Bombyx mori: one gene and its partners. The protein of the gene in region 2 purifies or fractionates together with the protein of the main gene of each other region. This does not show direct contact. Links are inferred from orthologs where the notes say so. Each region holds a gene or a part of one and is shown on either strand. Other genes may lie near its edges. The genes, in order: kinesin-like protein Klp68D, kinesin-associated protein 3 and kinesin-like protein KIF3A.

Region 1 (6,517 bases), on a different chromosome or scaffold from region 2:
CAGCGATCGAATCTGTTGCTCCAATTCTTCAGTCTTTACTTTTTCTTGTTCTATCGTAGATTCCGCTAGAATGTTCTCGTTCTCTATACTGAGCGTGTCGTCTTCCGCTGCTGAAATAATAATTGTAATAAATACGGCATGTGTAAAGAGGGCAGACTCTTTTTAACGTCAGCTGTTCCCGCGCTTGCGCTGTTTGGCAGTCAGTTCGGGTTAATGTAGAATGTCAATAAAACAGCGGTGACAGAAATGAAGAACTATAAAGTTATAAAATTTAACATCAACATTGACATCTACAACGTAAATGCCACCACCACCACCACCACCAGCGGCGCTGCTACCTGCCCGTGTAGACTAACGAGACGTCCTGCTAACAGTATTTACGCAAATTATATCATTAATAATAATTTTGCGGGTTTTGATTTTTATTACACGATGTTATTCCTTCACCATGGGAGTCAATCGTGAACATTTGTTGAGTACGTATTTCATTAGAAAAATTTTTACCCGCCTGCGAGATTCGAACACCGGTGCTATCGCTAGATACGAATGCACCGGACGTCTTATCCTTTAGGCCACGACGACTTATAAGACGGTGAAGGAAGCATTAGAACGCGGGGGTCCAGTCCTGGCGGTCCGTGCTGGAGGCGTGTCGGCCGGTGTTCGGACTCCTCGTGGATTGCGTTAAACGTGACCGAGGGCGTCTCACCTTCTGGTTGTCGCAAATGCACGGGCCCGCGGGTGCTCCGGCCGACACCTGCACCGCGGCGCCCGATGGGAACAGATAGAGACAGAGTCGGCGCCGCACTTACCGTTGTCGGGGTGCGGCCTGGCGGGGCGCGGCTTCCTGGGCCGCTTCTCGATGAGCTTCCTCTGCTCGATGAGCGCGCGGAGTCGCTCGATCTCGGCCTGGTACTCGCGCAGCTTGGCGTCCTTCGGGTCCTCGTTGCGGACCGGCTTGTTCTTTATCGCTGAAATGGGTGCAGTCCAGTGTCATGTTAGGGTCCTCAGCTCCGAGGGTAACGGTTACAAAATTTGTTCGGCTATATACGAGGCCGTCAGCGCAAAAGTGGCCTAACCCACAATTTATCATAATCATGCTTATAATTATGTATATTGCAATTTATTTAAAAATAGTATATTTTGATGCAAAACCGGCCCATCCATAGTTTCACCCATAGATAACAGATGACTTTGTAAACATTTTTGCGCGTATTGTTTTTATGCCTACTCAAATTCAAATTCATGAAAACTTAAACTTCATTGCTCCATAATAATTATGGTAAGCTTAGGCCACTTTTGCGCTGACGGCCTCATATAAGAGAAAATAAGTAATTTAACTGCATTCGTCTAATTGTTTTCTTTGGAAAATATAGATAATATTGAATATGATAAGTCTCGGTACCTTTGGCGCGGTGCGCGTACCGCAGCGTGGTGACGGTCTCGTCGTAGTTGTAGGAGGCGGGCCCGATGTTCGCGATCATTATGGTCTTGCTGTTGCCGCCCAGCGAGTCCTGCAGAATCCGAGTCAGCTTCGAGTCCCTGCGCACACACAGATACTTCAATATTCTGTATCTTCCACACAATCACCGAGTCGACCGTTCATGAAAAACGACATTTAATTGCAGGGATGCGTACCTGTACGGCACGTGGGGGCTGTTCTCTGCGAGCGCGGAGATGACGTTTCCCAGGGAGGAGAGGGCCTGGTTGATGCGAGAAGCCTCGCGCAGTCTGTCCGCGGAGGCGCCCGTTTTGGACTGCCGCTCGCTTCCCGCCAGGTCCACGAGGTTCAACTTGCCCACGCTGAAAATATTCAAATATCTGTTATTGGAACTGAACTTGTTATTTATCTGGTCGGGTTGTTAGTGACCTTCTACCCGCCAAATCAATGTCTTTCTTGATGTCCACTTCAAGGGACATGAGCGAACTCGTTCTTGTCTCGAGCGTGTGAAAGCGTCGCCGACAATTCTAGCTCGGGACTATTAAGCATGAAATTATCATGTATGTCTTCAAATGTCTAAGCTTCCCGTGTGCGATGTTGATGTTTAGATTAGCTAAATAGACAGAGGCGCGTCTGTATTTTGTAGTTGTTTGTGTAAATCATTACAATATGTCCTGTAGCAGTACTTGAAGTGAACCATTTTCAAGAAAGTCTTTTCAAGTAAGTTCACCGGTCATGTAGTCTTCATTACAGAAATCGGTACCTGCTTAATGGATTACAGGACCCGTATTCGGACCCGTGTTTGGGCTTTATTGGTGTTGAGATTGTGAATCTTGTTTCTGTATTCATGCCTGTTTCATCTAGCAATCTAATTCTTTTCAGAATCAGTTTCGAACATTTGCTTTATGTTGACGGTGGGTTTTTAGATTAAATAACAGTTACGATCATTTGATAAAAAATAAAACAGTGTTGTTGAGTGTGTGTGGCAGGTTAGTTTAAATCAAAATTTAATTGTGCATCTGATCTGCAACAGCTGTCCCTTCATTTAGTTTAGTGGTTAAATCAAATTTTACAATAAGTTTGTTAATTCAAACCACTGTTGGTATGTCATATCGTTCCGATGTCGTGCCGAAACTAGGATCAAGGATAAATCGTTTCCCCTTTAAAAAAAATTAGAGCGCAAGCAGTGTATATTGAAAGGCCTTTGATGGAATGGAATGGAATCCCTGCCCACCGTTTCTTTGATTGGGCCCATAAAGAGGGTTGAGGATTCATTTTTAAAATATGCCTTATACCTTTTACGGGTATATTATTGACCTGGCTGAAAAACATCTTAATTAAAAAGCTTATTTGGGTTTCACGATACTTTTGATAATTGCATCTGAACCATGTAACAATTGATCGTATATAGTTCATTGATCGGTTCTTCTCGCCTTTAGTCTAGGCGCCCCTCGACGTCCCTTACGTATATACATATATGCCTTCCGGCGCAATATATCTAAACTATCGGAGCACTAGACTCGTTCATCGCCTCGCGCCGCCGCGCTGGCAGTTGCGCTCCTATTAAACGTTTCCTCCTTGTGTTCCGTTCTCACACTTATTGCTATGAGAAACCAAAACTATGCATTATATTTCTATAACGATGTTTTGAACATCATTCTGATGATAGATTTTTAATACAGAAACATTTTAACATTCAATGTAAATGGAAATTATAATACCAAGGATTTGGCCTTTATTTCTTTATTTTAATGGGTATTTCATAAAACAAAGGCAGAGGTACTTGAGAATAAACAGCTTTAGAATATTATATGACCTGTGTATTATAATGTATTTATTTAATTGTTTTCAAATGCAAACCTTCATAATTATGCATTGTATTTAGTTTCCGTTCTTGTTATTCTATTCTATAATCGTACCTGCTACGTGATTTTATGAGTGATTTTTGGAAGAAATAATCTATTTTCATCAAAACAATGTTTTTAATTAATCACCCGATTGGATATAAAACTAAAAAAAATGTATACGTGATTAGTTTAAAGAAACCAGAGATTACAGCGCAAAAGTTGTTTTAATTATACTATAAATAAGTACCCAAGCAAACCGATAATAAAGTAATCGAGTTAAAACTCAAATCTCAAATATATAGCTGCGTTTTGTTTTGTTTTTAATCTATTTCGAATAATTTTTGTTGTATGTTTGACACTAAATGTTAGCCCCTTTATTTCACAATTTCAAATCACATCAAATTCGGTTCTGCCACTGCGGATGAGGTGACCGTGATACACAAAAATCTTTACTATTTTATTCGATGTAATATTTGAACACAGACAGATAACCGTTTTAAAGAAAGTGACAATTAAGAGTTACAGTCGTAAGATTTATTTAATAAACCAATAATTGTAGCCTCATAATAAAATCTCTCATGTTACTTTCTTGGGTTTATATGTCTATAAAATGTAAGAACTGATTAGTTGCCAGGTGCGACGTACTATCGATCAATTGGGCATGTTCTTCCCAGTCGACATACAAATTTGATATTTGTAGGATTGACGTTGTAAGCTCTAAAAAAATCCCAATCTAAGGTATTAGTACTAAAAACCAAAATTTAGAACAATTTTTTTTATTGCTCACGGCCCACCTGATGTTAAGTGGTTACCGGAGCCCATAGATATCTACAAAGTAAATGCCCCCATCTACCACCTTGAGACATGAGTTCTAAGGTCTCAGTTTTTACAGTACAACGGCTGCTCCACCCTTCAAACCGAAACGCATTACTGCTTCACGGCAGAAATAGGTAGGGTGGTGGTACCTACCCACGCGGACTCCCAATACGTCCTACCACCAGTATTGTGTTATCAAACAATGAATCTGCTTGAAATGTCCGTGAGCTGAGAGTAATGCAAAACATGTGACGTACCCACTCGCAGCGAATCATGCGACTATCCCCCGACTCGTAAATGCGACGGGCTTATGATCTACGACCAATACATTAACTTATTGACTGATGATGGAGTGTAAAATGAGCCTACACGGTTGTCAGACAGCTATAGGTTGGCCTAACGTCACAAGGAGGACGACTCTTTTCTGTTGCTGTATCTGTGGGCCGTGAGCACCCAACGCTGGTCCGTGAGCTCCTCGATGTAAATAATGTAATAATAATATTGCTTTTTTATAAATACCACATTTGGCTACCTGAACTAGGTTCAGAACTAGAATTGATATTGTCCAATCCACAAATAGATGAAATAACTTTCATATAAACATTGAATGTATCATAAATTAATATAAAATCCAGGCGAAATCAACATGTATTTAATTACGTCTGCTTGTTGCCCATGAATTAAGGTCGCGATCATAATAATATTTGATCAACTGATAATAAATTTCAAATTACTGATTGATTTTTCAAGTTAAAAATTGTTTGAATTCGCATATACCAGGCCGATTTATCTCGTGTAACCAAAGTATTTAAAAAAAATCTCAGGCTCAAGATTCCTTTCGTTTTTTATAAATATTCCGGATAAAGTCATATCATTGGTACAATCTTTACAAGTTGCAAATGTTAATCTGTCATAAATAGGCAAAGTGAAAACGATTTCTCTGTTTGTCAGCCTATATTTTTTACTTCTTTTTTTGTTTAGTAGACATTGAAAAGGTTTTAGTGTTATCATTAAAACATTTTTGGAAATAATCGTTTTTTCCTTCAAAATGTCAACACGATAATAAAATAAAACAGAAAGTGTACAGAAAATAAATCTAATTCTTACGGAATTATGGTTGGTTACATTTCGATCGTTTTCAACAAACTAATTTAAAACAATATCGTTGTAGCCTTTTGTTTTTTGTTATTTAAATAATAAAACCATCATATGAGAGCTCAAAGTGAGCATATCAAGATCAAGTGAAGTGAGTGAACCTAATGTGTATATTGAGTTGTGTCAGTTTAACATGAAATTTATTTTCTGGAATGTATCCATTATACGAAAAAACAATGATTCAAAATCTAAAATGACTCCTAAACATAACATTGTTCTCGGAAAACTGATACAACACGTTCCTGAAATCACGTTTAGCATGAATAAGACGTGTTCAATTGCACACAATTGCGCACACCGACCAACGTACTAAATCCTCATTTTCACACTAGGCAATAAAATGTTTCAATAATTTCGTTACTCTTAATATCTTTAAGGATTTAAATTCTTAAAAGCCGAAAATCCTACCGAAAGATGTAACCGGTACATGTTCAAAAAACAGGCTTGGACAAAGTCTATCTTTCAATTTGAAATATAAATAAAACAGTTTAATCACATTTAAAATGAATAAATACCATTTCAAGGAAGATTTCTTTCCCCGTCTCAAATTGAAATGAATACATATAATAAAATTTAAAATATATTTGTCTCATACTTTCACAACACTATTTCATTTCGGCACGTTTTCCTGCAATTTGTGCCTTTACAGGGAAAATACTTGAAGGTTGGGATAGGTAATTTAATCTAATTGGCGATTGCTGTTTTCTTCTTAGACCTTCATCGCGTTACCGATTTGAGCTTTCTGTTTATTTAGTACTGCGGTTGTAAACGATAACAATAGCACGTTGCGTAGTTACGCACGCATTGATGCATGGGTCTGCTTGCGTCGATGTGTATCGTTTCCTTCCTGAGACGGTCCACGTCACCCGCGCGTCACTCTACATTATGGTAACGCGCGCCCATTTAGAATAATGATACGTAATTTTTTTGAGCACTTTCGGTGCTTGTTTATAGGTGTTATTCGTAAAGCTCTATTTGTATTGTAAAATCTGAAAAATTAGAATTAATATTTCAAGGTGGATGGCGGCATATACGTTGTAGATGTCTATGGATTCCGGTAACACCAGGTGAGGCGTGAGCTCGTCCACCCATCTAAGCAATAATTTTTTTATATAGTTTTACATATTACACAACACACGAACTATTCGTACTCGTACGTTGACAGCCTACATCAGGGGTCGCCAAATGGCGGACCGCCGACCCATTTTGTGCGGACCGCGAGAACAGTGCAACTTGCACAGTTCATTACGTAACTTGCAAC
Region 2 (6,517 bases):
GAAACTCAATGGGCTGTGTCTGTGGGTTAATTTACTTGCCGAGCCCTTCGTCGCCAGCGATGGGTTCGACGAGAACGATGACCGGTGCTTGGGGTACTTAAAAGCACCGTTAGTGGGTCGGGAGGATCCGAGATGTCGAAACCCACTTTTACTACAGAACGCAAAATTCACATAAACAGAGGACGTTTCATACGACCTACTTAAATACATAAAATAGTTATATACACAAACATTCGGTTGACAACAATTAGTATTGCGGATAGTGTTACAAAAATTTCAAATGTGTAATATTGTAATATTTTCACATTAATTCGGTTCTCTTTATTACCTAGCTTATTTTAATCACACAAGAGTCTTTAACACAGATTTCTACGAAAATGAGATAAGGTAGTAATGAATATAAGAGAAAGTCACGTTCTAAATTTAAATATAATATCTTTATTTATATATTATAACAGTATTTGTGGCCACACTGTATATTTAGTTATACCAAAAAAGAAAACTGCGATTTATTTAATACTGAGATCATCATAATATTTAGACTTCACCTATCAATCAGAGCTTGATCATTAAAACTTCACAGTGCACAAATACATCGTTAAAAGCTGTTAGCGTTAGTGGGCGTCAAGTATTCTTCATACATTACTGAGATCTTCATTCAGTTACTATAATCGCAACCTAGAGTCATATTCTGTAAGATATCGACTAAAGTGTTGGGCTTTATTTACAGGATTAATTTCTTTTGATTGTGATCGAAGACACCAAATATATCCTTACTAAAAACTAAATAAGCTTTAGGAAAAAATAAATAATTTATGTAGAGTCTAAATTACATACGAACATTTTAGGCTGTTACTGTTTTATTTTAATATAAATCAGAACAATCTAAATAACAAATAGTTGCACGCTTTTTTTTTCTATTTGAAGCTAGATTAATAGAAGCAAAAACTAATACGTGTTAAGCATCTATGTGATTATTTAAAACTATTTTAAATTAAGTGAATAGTACAATATCACTGGTAGGGCCGTCGATATCCGAAAGCTTCCCCGACGAGCCATCCGTCGAAGTGAAAAGTTCGCCTTTATGCTCCTCTGAAGAGTTCCTTTAAAGAGGTTAGAGTTAATTATTCGAATATTTCTTAGACATTATCTATCTATATATCTATCTTATTTTTTACTGGTGGTAGGACCTCTTGTGAGTCCGCACGGGTAGGTACCACCACCCTGCCTATTTTTGCCGTGAAGCAATAATGCGTTTCGGTTTGAAGGATGGGGCAGCCGTTGTAACTATACTGAGACCATAAAACTTATATCTCAAGGTGGGTGGCGCATTTATGTTGTAGACGTCTATGGGCTCCAGTAACGACTTAACACCAGGTGAGCTGTGAGTCCACCACACAAAGGCATCTTTCCTATGACAAACGCGATCATAAGCTGTTGCTCACGGACAACGACAGGAGCAAAGGCGTGTGCCTTCACTTCAAGCCGCTGCCAAAACACTGTCAGAAATGTCATTTGAAAACTTGATTTGCGAATATTCTTACTTTGATCTTAGCACTTTCACATATAACAAATAGAGCCACGTTATATTAGGGATAGAGTAATTATCTATTAGTAGCATTAATGAATAATTTATAAAAACAGTACAGTGTTTCCAGATATTATCTTAAACGTACAAATTAACTTAACGGACCACTTTAAGTTGGTTATGTTAGTATGTATAGTATTTTACAGTGTTAATCAATTTTATTCACCTGGCTTCGACGCGATTAAGATCAACCTCACCCGACAGGCTATCTGAGTCGTCGTTAATTGACGTTTGTGAGTCTGAAAATATAATAAGATTTTAATAAAATTACCATAAAAAGATATGTTACTGGTACAAAACTTCTAGAATACAATAAAAATGCAAGTTCTAGCTAGCTCGTTACTGTGTAGTAAGTAGCCTTGCAACAAAAACTAAACGACCGTAGCACACTCATCGTTTTCCCTCCTTTCTGACTGGCTTACATTGCCAGTTTGTCTTCTCACTCGTAAAAATCTACGGCAATTAGTTCACAGATCTGTTTATGACAACATACTTCAGGTTTGCCGTCAAGTCATGGCTAAACGTGTATTAAACCCTATTAAGTTTTGTCTTTAAAATTAGATGTTCTCCTGGACCTATCTCGTGTAGTATATGGATTAAATTAATGACTCGATTTATTATCAAGGTGAAATACAACTACCTCTTCTTATAATCTGGTATATTTTTTCTCACAAAAGCTAACCTAAAATACAGACGATTAACAAAAATAAATGTCTGAGCAAATAGAATATTACAAACTTTTTAATTTCGTGCTCGCGTCAATCTTCATAACTGCCATTTTTTTTATTGCCCTTGTAGGCGGACGAGGACACGGCCCAACTGATGGTTAGCGTCGCCCATGGAATTCAGCAATGCTAGGAACAGAGCCAAGCCGCTGCCTACCAGCCAAGCCACGGCCTACCAGCCAAGCCGCTGCCTACCATTTCCTGCCATTTCAATTTAGTGTCATAGGTCTCTGCATTAGAGTCCCGAGCCTCTATCTTATCGCTGGAAGCCTAATTGGTCTTTTCAGCTAGGCCCGCACGGATAGATGAGTTCACGGGCTCAACCTGAGAGAATAACACTAGCCCTAGCAAGAGCAGTGCTTAGTAGAAATAACCTCAAATCGGAATCGCGACCCACTGAGAAGATCCGGTGAGAAATTCAGTGAGCAGTGTCAATGTGTGAGTTCGCTCGTCGAATTCTCTGTCTTAATTGAAGAGTTCGACGAGGATGATGACATGTATCGAGCGACGACGGATTTGGGTTGTCTCGTCGCCTGGGTCGGATAAGAGTATCTGCTCACAATCACCACTAAATATTTAAACACTTATCTCAGAATTACTTATACACTCGAGAGCAATGAATCCGGATCACTTAAAAACCTATAAATATCGGAAACTAAGAATGGTAGCTTAATGAAATAAATTGTGTTTAGTAGACAATTAAATACTCATTAAATTAAGGTTTATTTAAACCTTTTGGTGGGTAGGTTTAAAAGGAGACTTTTGAAGATGAAACTACGAAATTACTGCATTTGATTTTTATTTTGTTTCTAATCTGTCATTTAAGTGGGTATATAAACCATACCTAATGATAATGTTCAATATTTATTATACAACCTGTAATCATGTTGCTTACAACTGAAGAATGCACCAGAATCCTTACGAAATGCTGGAAACCGGCCGGAGTCAGCGGGATATAGCCAGAACTGTCGATGTCGCTGTCAACAGTACAAAGTTCTCCAACGTTACGAGGAAACTGGCTCTAACCTACGCAGACCAGGAACAAGCAGGACTAGGTGTACCACAGCACGAGATGATCGATACTTGGTGAACACCATGCGTCGTAATCGCTTTCTTACAGGAACTGAACTTAAAAATCAGTCTCGATGCCTCAGAGGACGTAACCCAAGCGCATGGACAGTAAGACGACGAGTTGTTTAAGCTAACTTGAAACCACTTAGACCTGCAAATGGCTCTAAACTGGAGCGTGGTGATTGAACTTCAAGACTAAGATGTCCCAGAACCGTTTAAATTAGACTATTGAAGATTGGTCGAAAGTTATGCTCTCTGACGAATCAAAATTTATGCTCTACAAGCACGATTCAAGCAAGCATGCATAGACGAAAAAGTAGCCTACGGTGGTGGGTCTGTACTTGTGTGGGCCGGAATTTCATCTGAGAGTCGCACAGAACTGGTGTTCATAGAAAATGGCCCTTTAACTAGCGTAAGATAGAAGATTGGAAGAAATCCTTAATGAACACGTTGGGCCATTTATGATCAATTTGGGTGAAGATGTTATTTTTATGCATGACCATGCCCGACCTCATACAGGTTTCAGTGTGAATGACTACCTACACGAGATGAACATTACATGTCATGTTTCCTGTTTGTGTTTTAAGGCGAGATCAGCAGTTTTTTCTTCTTTATGTAATTTTTAATAAATAACATGTAGTGACTTATAAATTTTATTACTTTCATTTAAGGGGTATTACATTGTCTATTAAACACCGTTTATTTTATTAAGCTGGCATTCTTAGTTTCCAAGATTTATAGTTTTACGCGCTGGGGTTCGCGATAAATAAAAATTCTACCGAATTGCAAGTTAACACTGTATTAAACGCTTAGAACACTTAAAACACTCAACAAACAGTTTAAAACTCTCAATTCGCTTCTTCCGTTTCACTTCAGGTGATCCGTTCGCTGTTTCGCTTCGAGTAGTTCAGATTACTGACTGACTGCGTGCCACCCCTGCAACGCTTTTATAGTCGATACCTCATCCCTAGAATTATCGAGAATATTCCACACATCTCTAGTATTGTTTCCGCTATCTGACAATAGATGGCGTTGTACTTCCCGACAGTTCTAGGTGCTACTAGATCCTTCGATATTCGTTCCACTATTCGGCGATAGATGGCGTCTCTTACCGGCGTAACAATAGGTTTCTTTAGGTGACCCGCATTCATTGCTTTCGAGTATATTTCTTTTTAGTAATTCTAGGCTATATTGTATTAAAATATGATAGGAAAATCAAACCCTACAAATTTTATTTTGCCGATTTATGTTGTTTCATTTTATTATTTAGCTTAGCTATTATTTATATTAGCTTTATTATTTATATAGCTTTATATTATATAGCTTTATTATTTATATTAGCTTCTGTTCCCGGCTTTGCCCACGCAAAAAGTAGCTTTCCCAAGAAGTAATTTTATCCAAATTCATTCAACAGATTATATGCTTGGTTGAATAAAAAACATTGATATTAAATGAATTGTGTTTTTGCAGATCCACTACGATCTATTATTTTGAGTAAGTACAGTCACAGTCGATATTGTATAGCTGACCATGTGAAATGCAAGAAGAGCCTAGATGAATTCCTACCATTTTCAGCGTTTGGCCCTGGGATTAATAAATGGTCATTGTTAATAATAGCTATTCATAAAATAAATTGTATTTCGTAAAGTAAGCAAAGTTATTTTCAATATTATCACATCAAACCTTTAGAGGCTTTAATATTAATCCACTGATCCTCTAACTATGTATGTCACGATAGTGAAAACATGGAACGATGTAAATCGACGCCAACACCATCTAGTCACAAAATCGCGAACCATAAATTGTCGAATTAAAACCGAATTAAAATAGCACTAAACTTGAATTGTTATCCCACAGAAACATTTTGTTAACGCCATGTTAGTGATAAGTTCAAAACTAAGGTTTTAGATCGAAATTGACTATTATCAAGAGAAAAAACATTACCAGAATAAAAAGTATTATTGTCTTTTAATTCTTTTATTCAGGAAATGGTGTATCTCTGTGACAAATTTTTGGCATAACCATTCAACCGTTTACACGTGGTTGAGTGACAAGCATTCAAACATCTTCACAAACTTTGACATTTATAATATTAGTAGAATTAAACCTGCCTAATTTGTTTTAATATAAATAATTGTAAATAGACATGTTTTAACAAAAACCGACTTCAAATAGAAAAAAAAAGATATTCCAAAACAAATTAATGTACACTAAAAACAGTAATCATCGAAATCGGTTGGCGTGATATTGAATTATTGACTAATTCGTCTGTTAATCGCGCACGTACTTAATGCAAATTTAAGACTTATATGGTTTTCTCATGGATACCATTATCAAAACTAGACTGTAATGGAACAACACGGAAAATGTAATGGAACAACACGGAAAATGTAATGGAACAACACGGGAAGCGTTAGCTTTCTAATAAAAAAAAAGAATCATCAAAATCGATTCACCCAGTAGAAAGTTGTGAGGTAAAAAACATAGTCGAATTGAGAACCTCCTCCTTTTTTGAAATCGGTTAAAAAACGAAATGAGTCAGTTATCCAATTATCTCGGTGATTACCAAGACCAATGAGCAAGTACTTACCGGAGGTGGCAAGCCGGTGTGTGGTGAGGTACTCGGCGGAAAGGTAGGGGGGCAAATCGTCGGCCGCGTCCCCCGCACCTCCCTCCGCCCCTAATGTCTCCACCACGGAGAGCCACTGTCCATTGTGGCACCGGAACCTCTCCACCTTTTTTAATTTTATTGCCTAGATGAGTGGACGAGCTCACAGCCCACCTGGTGTTAAGTGGTTACCAAAACCCATAGACATCTACATCGTAAATGCGCTACTCACCTTGAGATATAAGTTCTAAGGTCTCAAGTATAGTTACAGTTACATGTTATCACAGTGTATATATCTGATACTCTATTTATCTATTTAATCTTTATTGTTCAAAACGGTGAAAATACCACATATATGTACTTAATTTGTCTATGATGCATGTGTATACAGATATAGTGAGAAAAGATTTTCCTTTGTAATTTGTCGGAAAAGTTCGTATTTATCGTGCTCTCTCAAATAGCTTCAGTACCCATCTTAGAGCCGTAGGGGTAAGTTGCATCAGCAGACAGCTATATACAGTCAAA
Region 3 (6,517 bases), on a different chromosome or scaffold from region 2:
CCAACCTGACTATATCTGCTACGAAGCAACGTTTCGCTCTCGAGTGTCATAACATCGTTCGTACAGCGTTATTGAGACATCGACCTCATGCCTCAAGGTGGACTCCGGTCGCTGTTTAAGCGTAGGCGAGTAGCTCAGGTCAAGGTCATTCTTTTTAAATTCGCTCAACATTTCCTGTTTTTTTTTTTTATTGCCTTTGTAGGCAGACGGGCATACGGCCCACCTGATGGTGAGTGGTTACCGTCGCCCATGGACTTCAGCAATGCCAGGGGCAGAGCCAAGCCGCTGCCTAACGCTTAATACTCTCCACAAGCCTCGTTTGAAGAAGGACATGTCATAGCGCTCGGGAAACACCGTGGAGGGGAGCTCATTCCATAGCCGGATGGTACGTGGCAAAAAAGATCTCTGGAAACGCACTGTAAATGCACTTCTCTAATTTATAAACAATAATACATCTTTAGCGAAACTCGGTAATGGGACCTGTAATAATCACATTACTATTACAAAAAAAAAACACTTTCTTGTTCCTAAAACAACATTCTTTTATACAAACCTTTCTCTCACAGCTCTCAATCTAGAAATTGTTTCAAACATCATCCATAGTTCCATAATTCCATTTTCAAAAAAAATTCCGGATCACGACAAAAACAAACTATACCTAATTAAAACAATTCATTTGTAATCCATTCAAAAGTAAAATCATTGTAGAGACAATAAAAAATATATAAATTCTTTTTTTAAATCATTCTCTCTCCGTGTACATCTGACCGATGAACTAATTCTACGTATATAGCTCAATTGTTTTACGTTCCATTTCCAAATTTAAACTGGACGAACTAGTGCGAGCTAGTACGAACCGTTCGGTTTCGTTCTATACCAGCCTTTCCCAAAGTGGGCGATAACGCCCTCTTGTTGGCGCTGCAGGCCTAAAGAGGGCAGACTTTTTAGTGGGAACGCGAGGAGTGTAGTTGTGTGATTTGTTTTATTCTGTCTATTTAGTGTTTCTTCAGGTTTAAATGCGTAATAACGGTGGTTTATTAACTGTTTAATATTTGTGAAAGTGCACAAATGTGGGAAAAGGAAACAAAGCCGATGGACGTAGCTTCTCGAGATCCTCCAAAAAGCCCCCTGAAAAAGTCTCAATAAATAACCACAATTTTACAGAGATTATAGATATCCCATATCATCTCATCTCATTTAATTTCATCTCAGCTGATTTATGTCTCAAATTAATCATCTTCATTTCATTTCATTTCACTCCATATTATCATTTTTCATAAAATAAAAGAATTAAAATTAAAATAAGACTTTACCTAAAGGTCTTAGTTACCAGGTCACAAGATCCCTTAAAAAAAACGAAAGGGGGACGATAAGAGACCCAGATAAACAAGGCTTGGGAGGCGATTTCTGACTTTATCTTAGACCGACTGACCTCTCGCTGTAGTGATTTTTAGGTAGGTGAAAAAATGGTAGCGCTAAAAAATAATTTATTCTCAAAGTGGGCAAAAAAAAGTTTGGGAGCACCTGCTCTATACGACTCTGTACGTACTAGCGATGGTAGGCGGTAGTGCTAGACGCGGATAGACCTACAGAACGGTTCGAGTGTTATTGATCGGTCGCCGGCACAGCGCAATTAGGGCATCCCCAGGCCCGGCTGCAACACGACGAGGTCGCCCTCTTTCATTACAAACTCAATTTCGTTTCGTCATGTTGGTAACGCTATCTTTGTGTGCATTTCGTATTTGGAACGATTTCCCGCATTATGTGCTTTTGCAAAAAAAAAAAAAAACTTATACAGATTGACTTCGATATTAAGTATACTCTGTATTTAATACGTTTCGTGTTTTCCTATAAAAAAAATACCAAAGTTATTCGTAATAAATTGTTTTAAAATTTCCGTTACATTAACAAATTATCTAATCAGTTTTAAGATTCCTTGAAATTTAATGGTAACCTCGAAAAAAACATTATATAAGAACTTTAGTCACAGTGATTGCTTTAAATGACATTTTACATACATACATACATACATCGGCGCGTATAATATAATAAACATTATTATTAGTTCAAATTACAAAATACAAGATCCAAATCCGAAACTATTCCATTTTCAAATTTATTCTAGACAACTGGCTGACATTTAAAAAGTTTCGATTTCCAAAAAAAACAAATCGAAAAATTTAATGCACATTTTTAAATATAGAAACACTTCGATTCTTCGGTTCTCGCTCGACGTTATTAGGTGCAACGTTCCCTGTGCATTAAGCAATATATTTCTTAATCGTCTTGCAATACCAGGATTTCGACACGAAGCGCCGAAACCCAAACGTAGCGCAAGATGCACTAAGAACGTTACACCACACGTTTATTAATCTTCTTGCTTCACATTTCGTTTGCCAGTTTGTGGGCTTAGAACGTAACTTGAAAAAGAATGGCTTTGAAAATTCCCACATTGAAGATTTTTAATGTTCAACAAAAACAAAATAACAAAACTGAGCTCTTTGTTTTTCAAGTCACACGTTCAATGCTCACACATAAGCGTCGTTTCAATTCAGCCTTCGAGTCGTCTTCTAAATGACGTCACACACGAAACTCACCCACCATTCGACAAGACTGATGCAAGCGACAGCGCCAGTCAAGACGAAGGGCGGACGAGTAATGCGTTTCATCTTCTATTCGTGTTCATCACTTCTTCTTCGACGCCAAAGTATTCTTGGTACAACACTATAATATCAGTTCCATATCACTACAACAATGAACCATGTCGACTGTCAAATAAAATTCAAATTCCAAATTCAAAACAAGTACCGCGATAACTCAAAATACTCAACCTAATTCCGACAGTAATAAGAGTCAATACGAGTACTTTAACTAAGTCATTGTAACAGAGCGGTTATGTTCCGCTGACAACTGCGCTCGTCGCAACGTCGACGGCTAGTGAAATAATGTAGAGTACTCGGAGGGAATCGGCTCCGAGCGAGCTGCACTGCAACGCGCAACCGTCGGCTTCGTTCGTTTCCGCCGAACGATGTACCGAAACGCTTTTGTGGGCGTGAACGTTTAAATACGGCTTCGTAATTTAAACAAAAAAAAAACAAAATATAATCCTTCATTCGATTCCAAATTCAAAGGTTTTTAAATGTTTCAAAATGAGAACAAGTAGGTAAATGTCATATAAAAAAAAAACGCACACCTCGTAAAGTTCATATAAACGGAAACTAAAAGAATTTATTATCGAATTATTGAATGAAAATTAAGACAAATTTATATAAAATTCCTACAAATTTCATGACCCAATTGTACTATGCAATGCACGTAGTACTAAAGGGCTTCAAAACGTCGATTGGTATGGACACTACCGCGCATGCGTCAATTCCACCTACATAATAATATATATCAAACAGTTAACTATGTACCAAATACAGTACCGCGGTTTACACATATATTTTGAAAACTCCTTTTTTTTTTAAATCCTGTGGGCAACCCCTTATTTATGACTACGACCAACACCTACCTTAGTTTAGTTGTCATGGCCCGGTCAGGCCAAAATAGCACTTACCTGACTGGTGTTAGAGTCGAAGACAGCATCGTAAGCATAAACGCGAGGCGGCTCTGGAGGCGTCACGTTGTTCCTGGTCACAGCCACAGTCCCGTTCACGGAATCTACGGACACGCAATTGTAGGAGCCGTCCATTTTCTCCCTCTGGTCCATGGGCCGCACGCGAACCACCACCCGAACATTCTCGACGGTCGGAGCCGAGAGCTCTGCGTCCTATTGAAAACACAAAAAAGTTATCATTAGTGTGGTTTCGAAAAAGGAACGCGGCTGCAAATTCACAAAAAAAAAAAACAAAAAAAAACATTGGTGTCACATTTGACCTCGCAATATTGGGGTCAAGCTCTAAACTAGCGTCGCGTGTCGTTCAAATTATGTACGTTGTAACGAACGCGCTATTCCGAAGAAGCGCGCGCTGCTAACTCTCGTTATTTGCGCGATTTAAAAATGGAAATCAAACAAACAAAAAAAAACCTCAGCACTCCTTTGTTACGCGACCGTTAAAAAAGCAACTACGCTATTTTTTTTTCTTTCTCGCAACGCGCAAACGATTCCCTCGTTTCAAATAATAATATTACAACACATTATGTACTCAAATTTCTCGAGTTTGCATTACGCAAACGCCTTTGTTTCGAAATCGAGACATTCGTTAAAAAAAAAATCATACAGAGCCCGCAATCTTAAAACACGGTTATACCATACAAAGGCATTATCAATTTTGGCGGTTAGGAAAAACAAAATATATAAAATAAAAGCGTTCTTTGTTACATTTCTCAATTTAGGTCACACAATTTCGGCGGGCCGGATGACCCGACGCGTCCGCTAGCGAGCAAAGCCCGCCGGAGACTGCGAGGAGGCGGCCCAGCGATCTGTGGCAACTGGCAACACCTTCGTGTCCCAGAAAATATTAATTTACATACGTATATACGTACGTACGTACGTAACGAACGAGCATCGTTCCAATTTCAAACGTTTAAAACGCAAAATAATACACCCATTTATGCAATTACTAATACCGATTTAAACAAAGCCACGGACGGACCCGGGTACGTTTTCGATATTAGAACGCCCGAATTAGGTTTGGCGTTTGTGTGTTACTCTTACTTATTAGCGCGTTGACCTAAATCGAAATAGTGACGGCCCGCGTTGCAGAATCCCTTTATAGAATAGACGCGCCTAGTTTATTTTTAGTGTTTACGTACGTATTGTTACAATTAAAATTTATTAACGTGCTTTTTTTTTTGTTTTTTAAAGCTAATCTATCTATATATTAATACGTGAAGCAAAAACTTTGTACCCCTTTTTACGAAAATTGCGCGGACGGAGGAGTATGAAATTTTCCACACTTATAGAGAATATAGAGAAGAAGTGCACAATGCTAATATTTTTTTAAAATAATGCATAACAGATACATTAAATCAATAAAGAAAACATTACACACACTACATACCATGTATTTGACGCACACACGCATGCATACTATTTATTGTCAAACTTTTGTTCTTGACGTCTGTTGTCAAATTGAGAATACATGAAATATTGTTTGTCTTTGTTAATATTTTTTATAGTGTAGTCTTGGCGAAATCTGTGATTATAGAAGTATAAAATACAATCATAATAGTGTACAAACTTACAATTCCAATTAATTATAGTCGAATTTCGACTACTGCGGGACCTCTAGTATATATAAAAATGAATTGCTGTTCGTTAGTCTCGCTAAAACTCGAGAACGACTGGACCGATTTGGCTAATTTTGGTCTTGAATTATTTGTGGAAGTCCAGAGAAGATTTAAAAGGTAGGTAAATATAAAAATGCTCGGAATTAAAAATAAAAATAACAATTTAGTTTTTCCTTTGATGTGTCTCCCGTCGGACCGATTCCTTTTGTGTGTTTTAAGTTTATTTTATACAAAAGTTTAGTTCTTTTATTTAACGACTGAGGCACTACGAAGTCTGCCGGGTCAGCTAGTATTAAATAAATAAGTGCTCCTCTTTTAAATAGTTCACTAGGTAAGTAAAGATATCGAAATATAGGTCGGAAAATATTTACCTAACGGATGTTCCTGCAATATCTCACTATCAATATTACCGGTAGTAGGACCTTTTGTGAGCCCGCACGGGTAGGTACCACCACCCTGCCTATTTCTGCCGTGAAGCAGTAATGCGTTTCGGTTTGAAGGGTGGGGCAGCCGTTGTAACTATACTGAGACCTTAGAACTTATATCTCAAGGTGGGTGGCGCATTTACGTTGTAGATGTCTATGGGCTCCAGTAACCACTTAACACCAGATGGGCTGTGAGCTCGTCCAACCATCTAAGCAATAAAAAAATAATCTCAATGATAGGATTTAGGATGCATTATGTGAGTTATAAAAATAAAAATTTCTCTTTTTTTTATGGTTATTGTTATAAATAAAATTTATTAAGGTTTTTTTTTGTTTTGTTTTTTAGTGCTAATATTAAATAAGGTCATGTTCTTGTTTTAATAATTCACTAAGTAAGCTTTGCTCCTCCCCCCTCCCTCCTTCAGTTTATCGCTCATTGCTGTGCATCGTGATACGTCCGCCTGTGACCTGTTTTTGTAATTTGTAGAGCTTTACTAAAAGCTTTTTACTAAAGCTATCACAACCACAACCACGGGTAGAAGTGGGGCGGTTTTACAACAACTAAACCACTGCTACCACAGAAGGGGGAGCATTAGTAGAGGACTCAGCGGCCCAGGGTACCCCTAATTTCTCAGTTACGCTGGACAAATTGTTTTAGCACCAAGATCTTGTGACCTAGTTACGTGTTCCAACTAATTTTATCCCTTATTATTTTCGCTAACAAAGTCGAACCACTCTACGGTATATTTGGTGGAGTACGATTGCCATCACCGTTGGACGCTGGTCATGAGAACAGTTAAGATCATTTAAGACTCTCCAATTCTAGTTCCTGGATAGTTAAGATGATAAAAATCAAA

The links.
Region 1: the proteins of kinesin-associated protein 3 (region 2) and kinesin-like protein Klp68D purify together in Drosophila melanogaster (affinity purification with western blotting; 4 studies listed by BioGRID, with this or other methods). This does not show direct contact. The link is inferred for Bombyx mori from reciprocal best matches to the Drosophila melanogaster genes Kap3 and Klp68D.
Region 3: the proteins of kinesin-associated protein 3 (region 2) and kinesin-like protein KIF3A purify together in Drosophila melanogaster (affinity purification with western blotting; 5 studies listed by BioGRID, with this or other methods). This does not show direct contact. The link is inferred for Bombyx mori from reciprocal best matches to the Drosophila melanogaster genes Kap3 and Klp64D.

The regions. Positions count from the first base shown.
Region 1 is NC_085120.1:13,213,728-13,220,244, forward strand, and holds part of kinesin-like protein Klp68D, read right to left. Parts: intron 1,801-6,517; coding exon 1,636-1,800; intron 1,540-1,635; coding exon 1,403-1,539; intron 969-1,402; coding exon 810-968; intron 111-809; coding exon 1-110. UniProt on the Drosophila melanogaster protein: Plus-end directed microtubule motor that may be used for anterograde axonal transport and could conceivably move cargos in fly neurons different than those moved by kinesin heavy chain or other plus-end directed motors.
Region 2 is NC_085110.1:8,456,220-8,462,736, reverse strand, and holds the end of kinesin-associated protein 3, read right to left. Parts: intron 6,120-6,517; coding exon 5,975-6,119; intron 3,291-5,974; exon of another isoform or gene 3,190-3,290; intron 1,828-3,189; coding exon 1,755-1,827; intron 1,104-1,754; coding exon 995-1,103; 3' UTR 416-994; downstream 1-415.
Region 3 is NC_085130.1:15,775,519-15,782,035, forward strand, and holds part of kinesin-like protein KIF3A, read right to left. Parts: intron 4,400-6,517; exon of another isoform or gene 4,325-4,399; intron 3,773-4,324; coding exon 3,560-3,772; intron 2,662-3,559; exon of another isoform or gene 2,589-2,661; intron 1-2,588.